3 linked regions of the Callithrix jacchus genome follow. The main gene of each other region encodes a partner of the protein of the gene in region 2 in a complex. Links are inferred from orthologs where the notes say so. Each region holds a gene or a part of one and is shown on either strand. Other genes may lie near its edges.

Region 1 (4,221 bases), on a different chromosome or scaffold from region 2:
CCTTGAAGGAGAGCTCACTTGAATGGAAAGACTGGATTCTTTCTCTGCACTTTCCAAAATTCTCCATGATGACTTTTATAAACAGGAAGAAAATGTCTCAGGTAGTTGCCATTTTGGAACACCTACTACATTTCTTATCGAATCCGCACAGCTTTTTCAAGTACTGTCCCATTTTACAGATGAGGAAAATGAGGTACAGAGACTATTTCCTTAAAGTCACAGGAAGCAGATTTGAAAAAAGGTTTTTATTTTACAGACTGTTCTTTCCTGCATACTGGAAAGGAGAAGCACAAATCTAGAAACAAACAAACTTCCCAAACCTTGACTTAAAAGGCTTTGTAACGGGTTCTCATTCCCTAATAGCAACTGAAAACGACTCAGTAGGAAGTCATTTTTTAAGGTTTTTATTAAAATCTGCCAAATTATCTGCAAAAAAACTCAAGGATACATCCCATCTCTGCACAGTTATCATAAAATATATTCTTGCTTAAAATTTCTACTTTTATTCTATCACTGCCCAGTATTCTAAATAAGTGAGATGAATGTTTAAAAATATAAAAAAGCATCTTATAAACTTCTGTGAAAAAGCCAGCAATAGGGGGAACAAGGCCTAGCTAGAGGTCACAGATCTGCATGTCTAAGGGTAAATGAAATCCTTATTTTTTGGACTAATTCTTATCTGGTGGAATATGAAGAGCTGGATTCCACCTGGCTTATCGGCTAATTTCTGCATTACCTTGGACAAATGCCATTTGCACACTCCCTATCAGCCCTTAGGTGCATTGCAGCCTCTGTGTCATTGTGTGACATCACTTGGTTGCTATGGATATAGGTGCGAGGTCACTCGCTTTCCTGTGGAACTAGAAATATGGAAAAATTAGAAGAGTCTAAATAACACGAACTGAAGATATTTCCAATACTGATACCTATTAGCAGTGCAACTTACATCACTCGAGCATTAAAACTTTAGAAGACAGAGACTGTGACCACAGCAGTACCCCCAATTTCAGAACCAATTCTCTTCTTTAATAAAATAACAACCTTTCTTTGTGAATATGGCTGGTTTAAATATAAAGGTATCAGCACTCTCCTCTTCTGAGAACCGGTTAAGTTATTCAAGAATTGACCTGTAATATCAATAATGCTTCATTTAAAAGCTGTAACATGCAAGGTACATACACTTCAGCATCCACTTCACAATGGAGATGTATTTGAAAACCTTTGTTACATAAGGCAGGAAGTTAAATATTAAGATAGTGGGGCTCAGAAATCATTAATTAGATTAATTAATTTTCAACCTTTCATTTCCTAAAGTTCAATACTTCCCCCTCCTCTAGTATCAAACTGGTTGACAGCCCATTAGATAAATGTGACATTACTGACAAAATGGTGCAATCCAGGGAGGAATCTGCGACCCAGACAAAATGCGACAACTGGGGATCAGGATTCTCTTCATCGGCAGGAAGATGGACTCGCTTAAAAAAAAAGCCTCAGAGGCATCTAACAACAAAAACATTTTTAAAGGACTTTTTCCCCTTTAAAATAACTCCTCCCAGCCTCCACCCAGTCTAGGCTCTCTGCAATATGACAAATGCAGAATCTTCTGGAACGACTTGACACTGCCTCTCACCACCGCTTTGTTTGCAGTATCAGATCAGACAGAATATTTCCCCCCAACTTATAGGAATTTCAACAGACGCGTGCCTGTATGCAAAAAAGAAACGGCTTATGTCACAGATCGAACCAGTCAGCTACATTCGCCACCTTTTATTTTGGAGGCAACACCTACCCTTTTCAAAACAAAAACATTAGGGGATAAGATGGAGATGACATGTTGAGAACGATCAATGAAAACGCTAGCGAGATAAACGTTCCCCCTTCCTAAAAGCCGGAGGACTCGCTTTGGGGGAATGGAGAAAGAGGAGCCTTTTGTTAAGAAAAACGAGAGCAAGGTGGTTTCGATTTTGCACCACAGGGCTCAGGTTTTCAAGAGACCCCCCTACACGATGTTCCTGGGAAGGTTCTCAGGGATCTGTCGGGAGAGACGGTGGGGAAGATTTTGGGGGGGCTCGGGAGGCGGAAAACCGGGAGACCTGCTGAGTGAATGGGAAAGGCGCCGCCCAGACACCAGGGAGAGAAAGAGGAACCGCATCCATGCGGTCCCCCGCCCCCACGCCCAGGCTGGGAGGAGGGGGGAAGTGGGGCACAAAGGATGCGCACGGCTCCCCGCTAGGGTCCCCTGCACCCCCAGAGCCGCGGGGGCCGGAGAACCCGCTCCCAAGTCCAGGCCCGCAGGACCCCGCCCCGGCCCGCGCCCGCGCAGGGCCTGAGAGGCAGAGCCGCGGGGCCCCGGGAACGCCAGCAGAGGCCGCGTCACAGCCAGGGTTCCCGTCGCCTCTCGGGACCCTCCCCAGGGCCCCTCAGTGAGCGAAACGGTGCAGTCACCCCGCCATCGCGACAAGGCGATGAAGCCCTGGGCCTTCCACGCCGAGGACCGCGTCTCCGGAGGGGCAGGGAGTGGCGGGGGAGGGGAGGAGACACTCACGTTCTTCATGGCCGCGGCCATGTCGTCGTAGCGCTCCGCCTGCTCGGCCAGCCGGGCTTTCTGCACCAGTTGCTCGCGGTCCACCATCGTCGCGGAGCTGGGTCGGGCCGGAGAAAAAGAAGGACACTGGGGCGGCCTGAAGGGCTTAGAGGGCGCGGCTGGAGCCCAAGTGGCCGAGGGGACCAACCCACAGGGCAAGCGGCTGAGGCGGCAGCTGCGCGGAGTAGGCGGCTGGAGCTGCGACCGCGGGACCAGGCGCGAGGCGGCTGCGGCTGCTGTGCGTGCCACGGACGGACAACCCTCTGCGGCCCCGCCCACGCTGCGTGACGCAGCCAGTCCCCGCCCGCCCGCAAGCCCCGCCCAGGCCCCGCCCGGGCCGGGCCACAGTTGGGGCTCCCCGCTCCCCAACTCGGCTCACTGCGCGTCTTTCGGGCACCCTGTCCTTTCCCACTGAGCCCCCACGCTTTCCTTTATTCGCTTCACTCCTCAGTTCCCTCGCCCCAGCTTCTCCAGACGCCCCCTTATCCCTTCCCCTTGAGCCCTCAGCACGCCAGGCTTCCGACGCATGGGCCTCTGGGAATTGTAGTTCAACCTGCCTTGGGCTGAGGCGTTGGCAAGACCAAGGACAAAGGGGCGGTCAATACTACAACTCCCAGCGGACGTAGCGCGCAGGCACAGGAGGACGAACGGGGAGGGGTGGTGGGATTGGTTCGAATCCCGAGGCCGCTGGGGACCCCTGGCGGGGATCAGGGCTGCATCGGTACCTGCGAGTGCTGATTCACCGCCCCGCCCCAAATTCTACGGGAAATTACGAGAGGAGGGGTCAGGGGCCTCAGTCCTAGACCCTGTTTCCGAGATCGCTTAGTAGATCGTGGTGTGGGAAAGACAGGAGGCGCGTCCCTTGCAGATCCAGACTCACAGTGTGGTGCCTGCCCGCGGGATGGCTGAATTAAGCAGCCAGACCCTGGGGACTGTCACCTCTTCCCCCAACGAGCTTCCGCTAACCCCCCCACCCCACCTTGAGGTTCTTGGGTCTGACTAGGTGAAAACAAATACCGCCTGGCCACACTGGTTGGTTTCCAGAAAGGATGCAGCTGTCTGCTGGCTGACCCTGGAGGACCCCTTCTTCCTCTCTAGGGTGGAGTACTAAAGATTTAGTTCAGCTACCAGGAGCCTACTCCACGCCTAACTGGGCTGTGTCTAGGGCTTGGCTGTCCAGCCTTCTCTCCCCTCCCAAAACATACATACATACTGATGTCATGCTGATATATTCTCTTTCATATGCTTCCCTTTCTTAATATTCCACATAGCTTGCAGATACCATAATTTTTTTGCTTTGTTTTGGTTTTTGTACAGACAGGGGTCTAGCTTTGTTGCCCAGGCTGGTCTCAAACTCCTGGGCTCAAGCGATCCTCCTGCCTTGGCCTCCCAAAGCACTGGGATTACAGACGTGAGCGACTATGCCTACAGGCCCCATAGTTTTGACTGCACATTGTATTTACTTTATTCAACAATTATCTGTGAGAAGCTACTGTGTTCCAAGCCCTATTCTAAGCCATGAAGTACAGTAGTGAACAAAACAGACAAAAATCCCTACCCAAGAAGATATGTAGAATATGCTAGAAGTCAATAAGAAGTAAGCTTTGGCCAAGCACGGTGGCTCACACCTGTGATCC
Region 2 (3,194 bases):
TGTATTTTTAGTAGAGACGGGGTTTCACCATGTTGACCAGGATGGTCTCGATCTCTTGACCTCGTGATCCACCCGCCTCGGCCTCCCAAAGTGCTGGGATTACAGGCTTGAGCCACCGCGCCCAGCTAATTTTTTGTATTTTTAGTACACACGGGGTTTCACCGTGTTTCCCAGGCCAGTCTCTAACACCCGACCTCAAATGATCTGTCTGCCTCGCCCTCCCAAAGTGCTGGGATTACAGGTGTCAGCCACCGTGCCCAGCATCTAAAAAGATTAGATCAGCCGGGCGTGGTGCGCACATCTGCCGTCTCAGCTCCTCCAGAGGGTGAGGCAGGAGGATGGAGAGGACGGTGGCGTCACTCCAGCCTTCGCGACAGATCCTGGAAGGAAAAAAAAAAAAAAAAAAGGCTAAGAGCCACCAGGCTGGATAAAGTCCTTCCAATTTTCCACAAAACGAGCAGGGACGGGATGGGGAGGCCCCTTCCCCTTCAGAGGACAGGCCGCATCCGCTCTGCTTTTCCTGGATGCTTTATTACGTGTGATGGCAATGAGCCAGCTCACCACAGAGGGGGGTTTTCAACACGGTAGAAGACCCTTCCCCACCTCCCTCCACCACGACCACCGGGTTGGGGGAAGAAAAAGGCGGGGGACAGAAAGGAGTGCAGTCCGATGACGGCAGCCAAGGCCCCTCAGTAGGTCATCTGGTACACGGCGGCGTGCTCACTGAAGCCGGTGACAACGAGGCGGTTGTTGGACGAGATGTCACAGCACAGGATCGGGGACGTCTCGGGTACCTAAGGGGGAACCGTAGGCACTGAGCTGGGGAAGGGCTCACGCACCCCTGGTCTTTACCCGTCAGCTCTAGCATGAGGCATGGGCTCTTCCAAGAAGACAAGACAGGGTCTTGCTCCGTTGCCCAGGCTGGAGGGCAATGGTGGGATCTCAGCTCACTGCAACCTCCGCCTCCCGGGTTCAAGCGATTCTCCTGCCTCAGCCTCCCGCGTCGCTGGGACCACAGGTCTCCTCCACCCACGCCAGGCTGATTTTTTATATTTTAATAGAGACGGGGTTTCATCGTGTTGCTCAGGCTGGTCTTGAACTCATGGGCTCAGGCAATTCCGCCTGCCTCGGCCTCCCAAAGTGCTGGGATTACAGGCGTGAGCCACCCTGACCGGCCTTTTCTGAGTTTTTGTTGAGATGGGGTCTCACTGTGTTGGGCAGGCTGGTCTTGAAATCCTAACTGAAAGGGATCTTCCTGCCTCAGCCTCCCAAAGTGCTGGGATTATAGGTGTGAGCTGTCATGCCTGGGTAATTTTTTTTTTTTTTTTTTTGAGAGTCTGGCTCTGTCACCAGGCTGGAGTGCAGTGGCACAATCTTGGCTCACGGCAACCTCTGCCTCCTGGGTTCAAGCGATTCTTCCGCCTCAGCCTCCCAAGTAGCTGAGACCACAGGTGTGTACCACCACGCCTGGCTAATTTTTTTTGTATTTTTAGTAGACATGGGGTTTCACCATGTTGGCCAGGATAGTCTTGATCTCTTGACCTCATGATCTGCCTGCCTCAGCCTCCCAAACTGCTGGGATTATAGGGGTGAGCCACCGAGCCTGGCCTAATTTTTAATTTTTTCTTTGTACAGACAGGGTCTTGCTGTGTTGCCCAGGCTGGAAACATGGTTTTGGGGCCACCCCAAGGTCCCACCCCCAGCTCACCCCACAGTACCTGGAACACGTTTGTCCCCACTGGCATGCTGTGGATGCTGAGCAAGCCGTCCATCCCCACGCTCGCCCACCACTGGCCTGGGAGGAACAAGGGTGGTGGGAGCACCAGGTGGGGGAGGGGCAGGGCCCAGACACCCACCCCCTTCCCTCCCTTGTCCCCCTGGAGGAACAGCCCCAAAATTGGCTTCTGCTATGGAACAGCTGCTGTTTGATTGTTCGGGGGGTGGGGGATGAGGCATAGTTTTGGTCTTGTGGCCCTGGCTGGAGTGCAATGGCGTGATCTCGGCTCACTGCAACCTCCAGCTCCTGGGTTCAAGCGATTCCCCTGCCTCAGCCTCCCGAGTAGCTGCAGAGATACCAGGATACTGGCCTGGTGCAGTATTGGAATAGTGTTTTTTTTTTTTGGGCGGCGGGGGAAGACAGTTTTGTTCTTGTTGCCCAGGCTGGAGTGCAATGGTGTGATCTCAGCTCCTGAGTACCTGGGATTATAGGCACGTGCCTCCACACCTGGCTAATTTTTGTATTTTCAGTAGAGACGGGGTTTCTCCATGTTGGTCAGGCCGGTCTCGAACTCCTGACCTCAGGTGATCCGCCCGCCTCGGCCTCCCAAAGTGCTGGGATCACAGGTGCGAGCCACCACGCCCGGCCTCCAGAAAGGTTTTGAGGTACCCTAGAGGGTTGGGTGGGGAGCTGGCATTGGATGGGGTCCTGTGGGAGGCTGGGGGCTGCGGGGGAGACCCCCCTCCTTCCGCCGGCTACTTACCGAAGGGGGAGAACTTGACGCTCAGGATGATGCCGTCTCTCTGCCCCACCAGCTGCCGCCGGCTGTCACTGGTGCTCTGTAGCCACTGCTGGCCGTTGGCCATGCCCAGCAGCAGCCAGTCCTCTTGGGGACTGTGGGACAGGCTCATTATCTGGGCAATGAAAGGGCAGTGGGGAGGGAGGAAGCTGGTTAGGTCCCAGCCTGGCCCAAAAGGCAGGCAGGAGACTGGGGTCCTATCCTGGAGGCTGAGTGCCTGACCCCTTCCTAGCTGCCCAGCCCTGGCCCAAGTCATTTCGTGTCTGTGCCTCAGTTTGTTGGTCTGTAATATGAGCACAGTCTTCCCTACTTCTGCACCCAATATAGCATTTAAGCTTTTTTTTTTTTTAAGAAAACAGTCTCGCTCTGTCACCAGGCTGGAGCGCAGTGGCGTGATCTCGACTTACAGCAACCTCCACCTCCTCGGTTCAAGCGATTATCCTGCCTCAGTCTCCCCAGTAGCTGGGATTACAGGCGTGAGCCACTGCACCTGGCCAAGTGTTTCTTATTTAAACAGCAAATTTTTTTTGTTTTTTTTCTGAGATGGAGTCACGCTCAGTCATCCAGGCTGGAGTGCAGGGGCACGATCTCGGCTCAATGCACCCTCCACCTTCCCGTTTAAAGTGATTCTCCTGCCTCAGCCTCCTGAGTAGCTGGGACTACAGGTGCCGCCACCAC
Region 3 (3,139 bases), on a different chromosome or scaffold from region 2:
AGTGTTCTCTGCTGGGACTCTTCGCGGCCAGAGTAGCCGATGCCTGCATCTTGGTGTCCACGACCTTCGTGCAAAGTCGGTGACCCAAGCAAGACCTGACAACGGCAACAGTGGCACAGCTCGGCCCTCTCCGTTTCCCCCTTCCCCGATGTCATTTTCCCTAACTGGGAAAGTGGTCTGTGGCAGAATCGCAATACACACAGGGTATTCCAAATCCAGCTGAGCCCCAAGCGACCCGGTTTTCTCATCCCAAGTTAACCTTGAGTAGAACCAGAGCGGGCTTGGAGAGGTTTCCTAGTGGGTTAGATAGGATTCTCACCTGGGTAAACCAGATGAACGCGGTTAAGGAGCACAAGGGACACACCGAAGCGCAGCCGGGGTAGATTGCGACCTTGGGCGGCTAAGAACCCGAGGTCCCACCTGCCTCGAGGTGGAAAGCGGCGCAGGGCAGAATTGGGCTGATATAGGAATGGGCATTCCCTCCCCTCTACCTTCCAAAAAACAGACGTTAGGGAAATGCAATTCTTTATTAGAACTCAAGTTTGTGTTTGCAACCATTCAACAGAAGGGGTAAAACAAAACAATTCACATCATGATTCCCCCACCCCCAACCCCACCTTCTGAGGCTTAAGTGTATCGGGCTTCCACTTAACCCCTGACTGGCTCTGGTTCCAGGGCCTGAAATGCCTTCATAATCTAGTAACTGGGTCCCGGGCATCCACGTAAAACCGCTGGGTCCGTGCCTTGCTGGCAGCTTCGGGAGATCGCTGGGTCCCCGACTCACTGGCAGCCTTGAGGGACTGCTGGGTCCCGGCCTCCCGCACCTCCACCGGAGAACCCTGTGTCCCGACCTCCCGGACCTCCACCGAACGCTGGGTCCAGGCCTCCCGGACCTCCACCGAACGCTGGGTCCCGGCTTCCCGGACCTCCACCAAGCGCTGTGTCCCGGCTTCCCGGACTTCTATTGAAGACCGCTGGGTTTCGGCCTTCTGAGTGGCTATATCCTGGGCGAGGGCCTTTCCTGAGCCTGGAAGAAGAGCAGTGTGCAGAGGCCACAGCTGTATCCCTATATCCTCTCTAAAAAAGGACAGTCACCCATGTGGCCTACGGGAGTAGGAGCCAGGAATCCCAGAACGCAAGTTCAGTTTGGCCTTCTCGATCCGTGGCGACCAGAACCGCCCCCTCCCTCACCCACCAACCGCGGGCCGACTGGGAGGGCGAGACTGCCGCCCCAGCAGCCAGTAAAACCCAGGATCACTCCTACGGAGACAGGATTTGCTCAAAGTAGTCCTTTTCTCAACCTCGTACCTTTCGCCTGGAGCTGGCGGTGATAGTCAGCCAAGTTCACGATCATCTTGATTGTGTCCTCCTGGTAAGAAGGCCTCCCAAATATCAAGATCTCAGCCTCGCCGCTGGGGTCCAAGTGATTCACGTGAATCAGGATTTGGGACAGACCCTGGACTTGCGGGATGCGCTCTCCGCCTCTGCCTGCGCCGAGAGCAGAGAGGATGTGAGGGACGGGTAGCTCCCAGGGGCCTTGGGAGAGGAAGTTGGAAGGAGGAGACAGCCAGAGGACATTGGCTACTAGGGAGGTTTGCCCTGGAACGCGGCCAGAACATGTGGGGTGTAGGTATGGGTGCAGAAAGAAGCCGCATGAGGGTTACCCGTCCCTAGTCCACTCACCGAAGATCTTTTCCACCAGCCAAACCTCAAGGCGAACTACCTTCGGATTCTTCAGAAACTCAGAGTGGAACCAGGAGAACTGCTTGGGGAGCTGACCGAGCACCTCGAATGACATTGCTTTTGGCTGCATCAGTTGCACGAGCGTCGGAAACCGTCTGGGAGTGTCCATGCTGCCGCCCGCCCTGCAGGAGACCAGAGCACAACCGCAAACCCAAAGGACGAGCTGGAGGTAGGCGACTAGAGTTGCGCTTACAGCTGGGTCTTATTTTAAGGGCTTTTGGCCAGCCCCTCCTCTCCATCCGCTCCCTTCTCATTGGACTCCAGGCGTCGCCTCCGTCTCCTAGGGCCCTGGCTTCTTCCGAGGCCGCACAAGCGCGCTGGTTTCTGGGCTGCTCTCAGAGGGTTCCTTCTGTCAGGAACAGCCCTTCTTCAGCGCACCCGGTGGGAGAAACCGGGCTCTGGGCTCCAGGAATCCAGTGGAAAGCCGCGGGAGTCTTAAAGATGGACTCAGGAAGGCGTGGATAAGCCCAGTATTTTTCTCAGAAGAAGGAACTGATACTTGCAGAATGAATACTTCTTAGGTCTCCCAGAGCTTCTTATCCCTGGCCACTATGTTTACTTCCTCTGGCACCAGGTTTTCAGATTATTCTGTTACCTGCCTGAGACAGCTGAGTACAGGGCAGAATAAGGGTTTTTTTTTTTTGTTTTTGTTTTTTTTTAAGTTATAGGGTCTGTGTAGTGAGATTTGCATAGTAAAAAAAAAAATAAATGGATAGGAAAAAAGTTATGGGATCTGGCTTTCTTGCTGGTTTTCAACTCTGGGGAGTTAAAAAATCCTCCCTCCTTATCATCCCCAGTGGTGGGACTGTGGCGCGCTTTTAATTAATGCAGCCTTGAACCCACCCAACCACAGACAGTTCCCGTGGTTTAGATACCAGAGGAGATTCCTTGAAATTTTTTGATATTTCCATTTTTATTTTTATTTTTATTTATTTTTTGAGACGGAGTGTCACTCTCGCCCAGGCTGGAGTGCAGTGGCACCGTCTTGGTTCACTGCAACCTCTGCCGCCCAGGTTCAAGCGATTCTCCGGCCTCAGCCTCCCTAGTAGCTAAGATTGGAGGCACGAGCCATGTCGCCCGGCTAATTTTTGTATTTTTAGTAGGGACGGGGTTTCACCATGTCGGCTAGGCTGGTCTTGAACTCTTGACCTCGTGATTCACCTGCTTCAGCCCCCAAAGTGCTGGGATTACAGGCGTGAGCCACCATTTTTTGTTTCTTTGCTTTGTTTGGTTTGTTTTTTGAAATGGAGTTTCACTCTTGTCGCCCAGGCTAGAGTAAAATGCCACGATCTCGGCTCACTGCAACCACTGCCTCCTGGGTTCAAGCGATTCTCATGCCTTAAGACCCCGCCCCCAGTAGCTGGGATTACAGACGTGCACCACACGTTCGGCTAAT

The links. The genes of interacting proteins can lie anywhere in the genome.
Region 1: the proteins of TLE6 (region 2) and YWHAG are in contact, whole or in part, in a cryo-EM structure (PDB 8XI3), measured with the Mus musculus proteins. The link is inferred for Callithrix jacchus from reciprocal best matches to the Homo sapiens genes TLE6 and YWHAG. Residues at the interface, in NP_444484.1 of Mus musculus: Phe137, Leu138, Ser139, Glu140, Ser141, Asp142, Leu144, Gln145, Leu295, Arg347, Asn430, Leu447, Gln470, Met472, Asn489, Asp510, Asn511, Thr512, Met530, Pro553, Arg555; in NP_061359.2 of Mus musculus: Lys50, Arg57, Arg61, Lys125, Asp129, Arg132, Tyr133, Gly174, Leu177, Asn178, Val181, Glu185, Phe201, Asp202, Ile205, Ala206, Leu208, Asp209, Glu213, Tyr216, Lys217, Thr220, Leu221, Ile222, Met223, Gln224, Leu225, Arg227, Asp228, Asn229.
Region 3: TLE6 (region 2) and KHDC3L share a complex: the UniProt entries of both Homo sapiens proteins name them as parts of the subcortical maternal complex. The link is inferred for Callithrix jacchus from reciprocal best matches to the Homo sapiens genes TLE6 and KHDC3L.

Annotation. Positions count from the first base shown.
Region 1 is NC_133503.1:11,117,739-11,121,959, forward strand, and holds the start of YWHAG (14-3-3 protein gamma), read right to left. Parts: upstream 2,814-4,221; 5' UTR 2,633-2,813; coding exon 2,546-2,632; intron 1-2,545. UniProt on the Homo sapiens protein: Adapter protein implicated in the regulation of a large spectrum of both general and specialized signaling pathways. Binds to a large number of partners, usually by recognition of a phosphoserine or phosphothreonine motif.
Region 2 is NC_133523.1:2,770,322-2,773,515, reverse strand, and holds the end of TLE6 (transducin-like enhancer protein 6), read right to left. Parts: intron 2,632-3,194; coding exon 2,481-2,631; intron 1,796-2,480; coding exon 1,719-1,795; intron 795-1,718; coding exon 690-794; 3' UTR 513-689; downstream 1-512. UniProt on the Homo sapiens protein: Component of the subcortical maternal complex (SCMC), a multiprotein complex that plays a key role in early embryonic development.
Region 3 is NC_133505.1:78,451,583-78,454,721, reverse strand, and holds KHDC3L (KH domain-containing protein 3), read right to left. Parts: upstream 1,923-3,139; 5' UTR 1,853-1,922; coding exon 1,684-1,852; exon of another isoform or gene 1,489-1,683; coding exon 1,309-1,488; exon of another isoform or gene 1,271-1,308; intron 1,028-1,270; coding exon 690-1,027; 3' UTR 514-689; downstream 1-513. UniProt on the Homo sapiens protein: Component of the subcortical maternal complex (SCMC), a multiprotein complex that plays a key role in early embryonic development.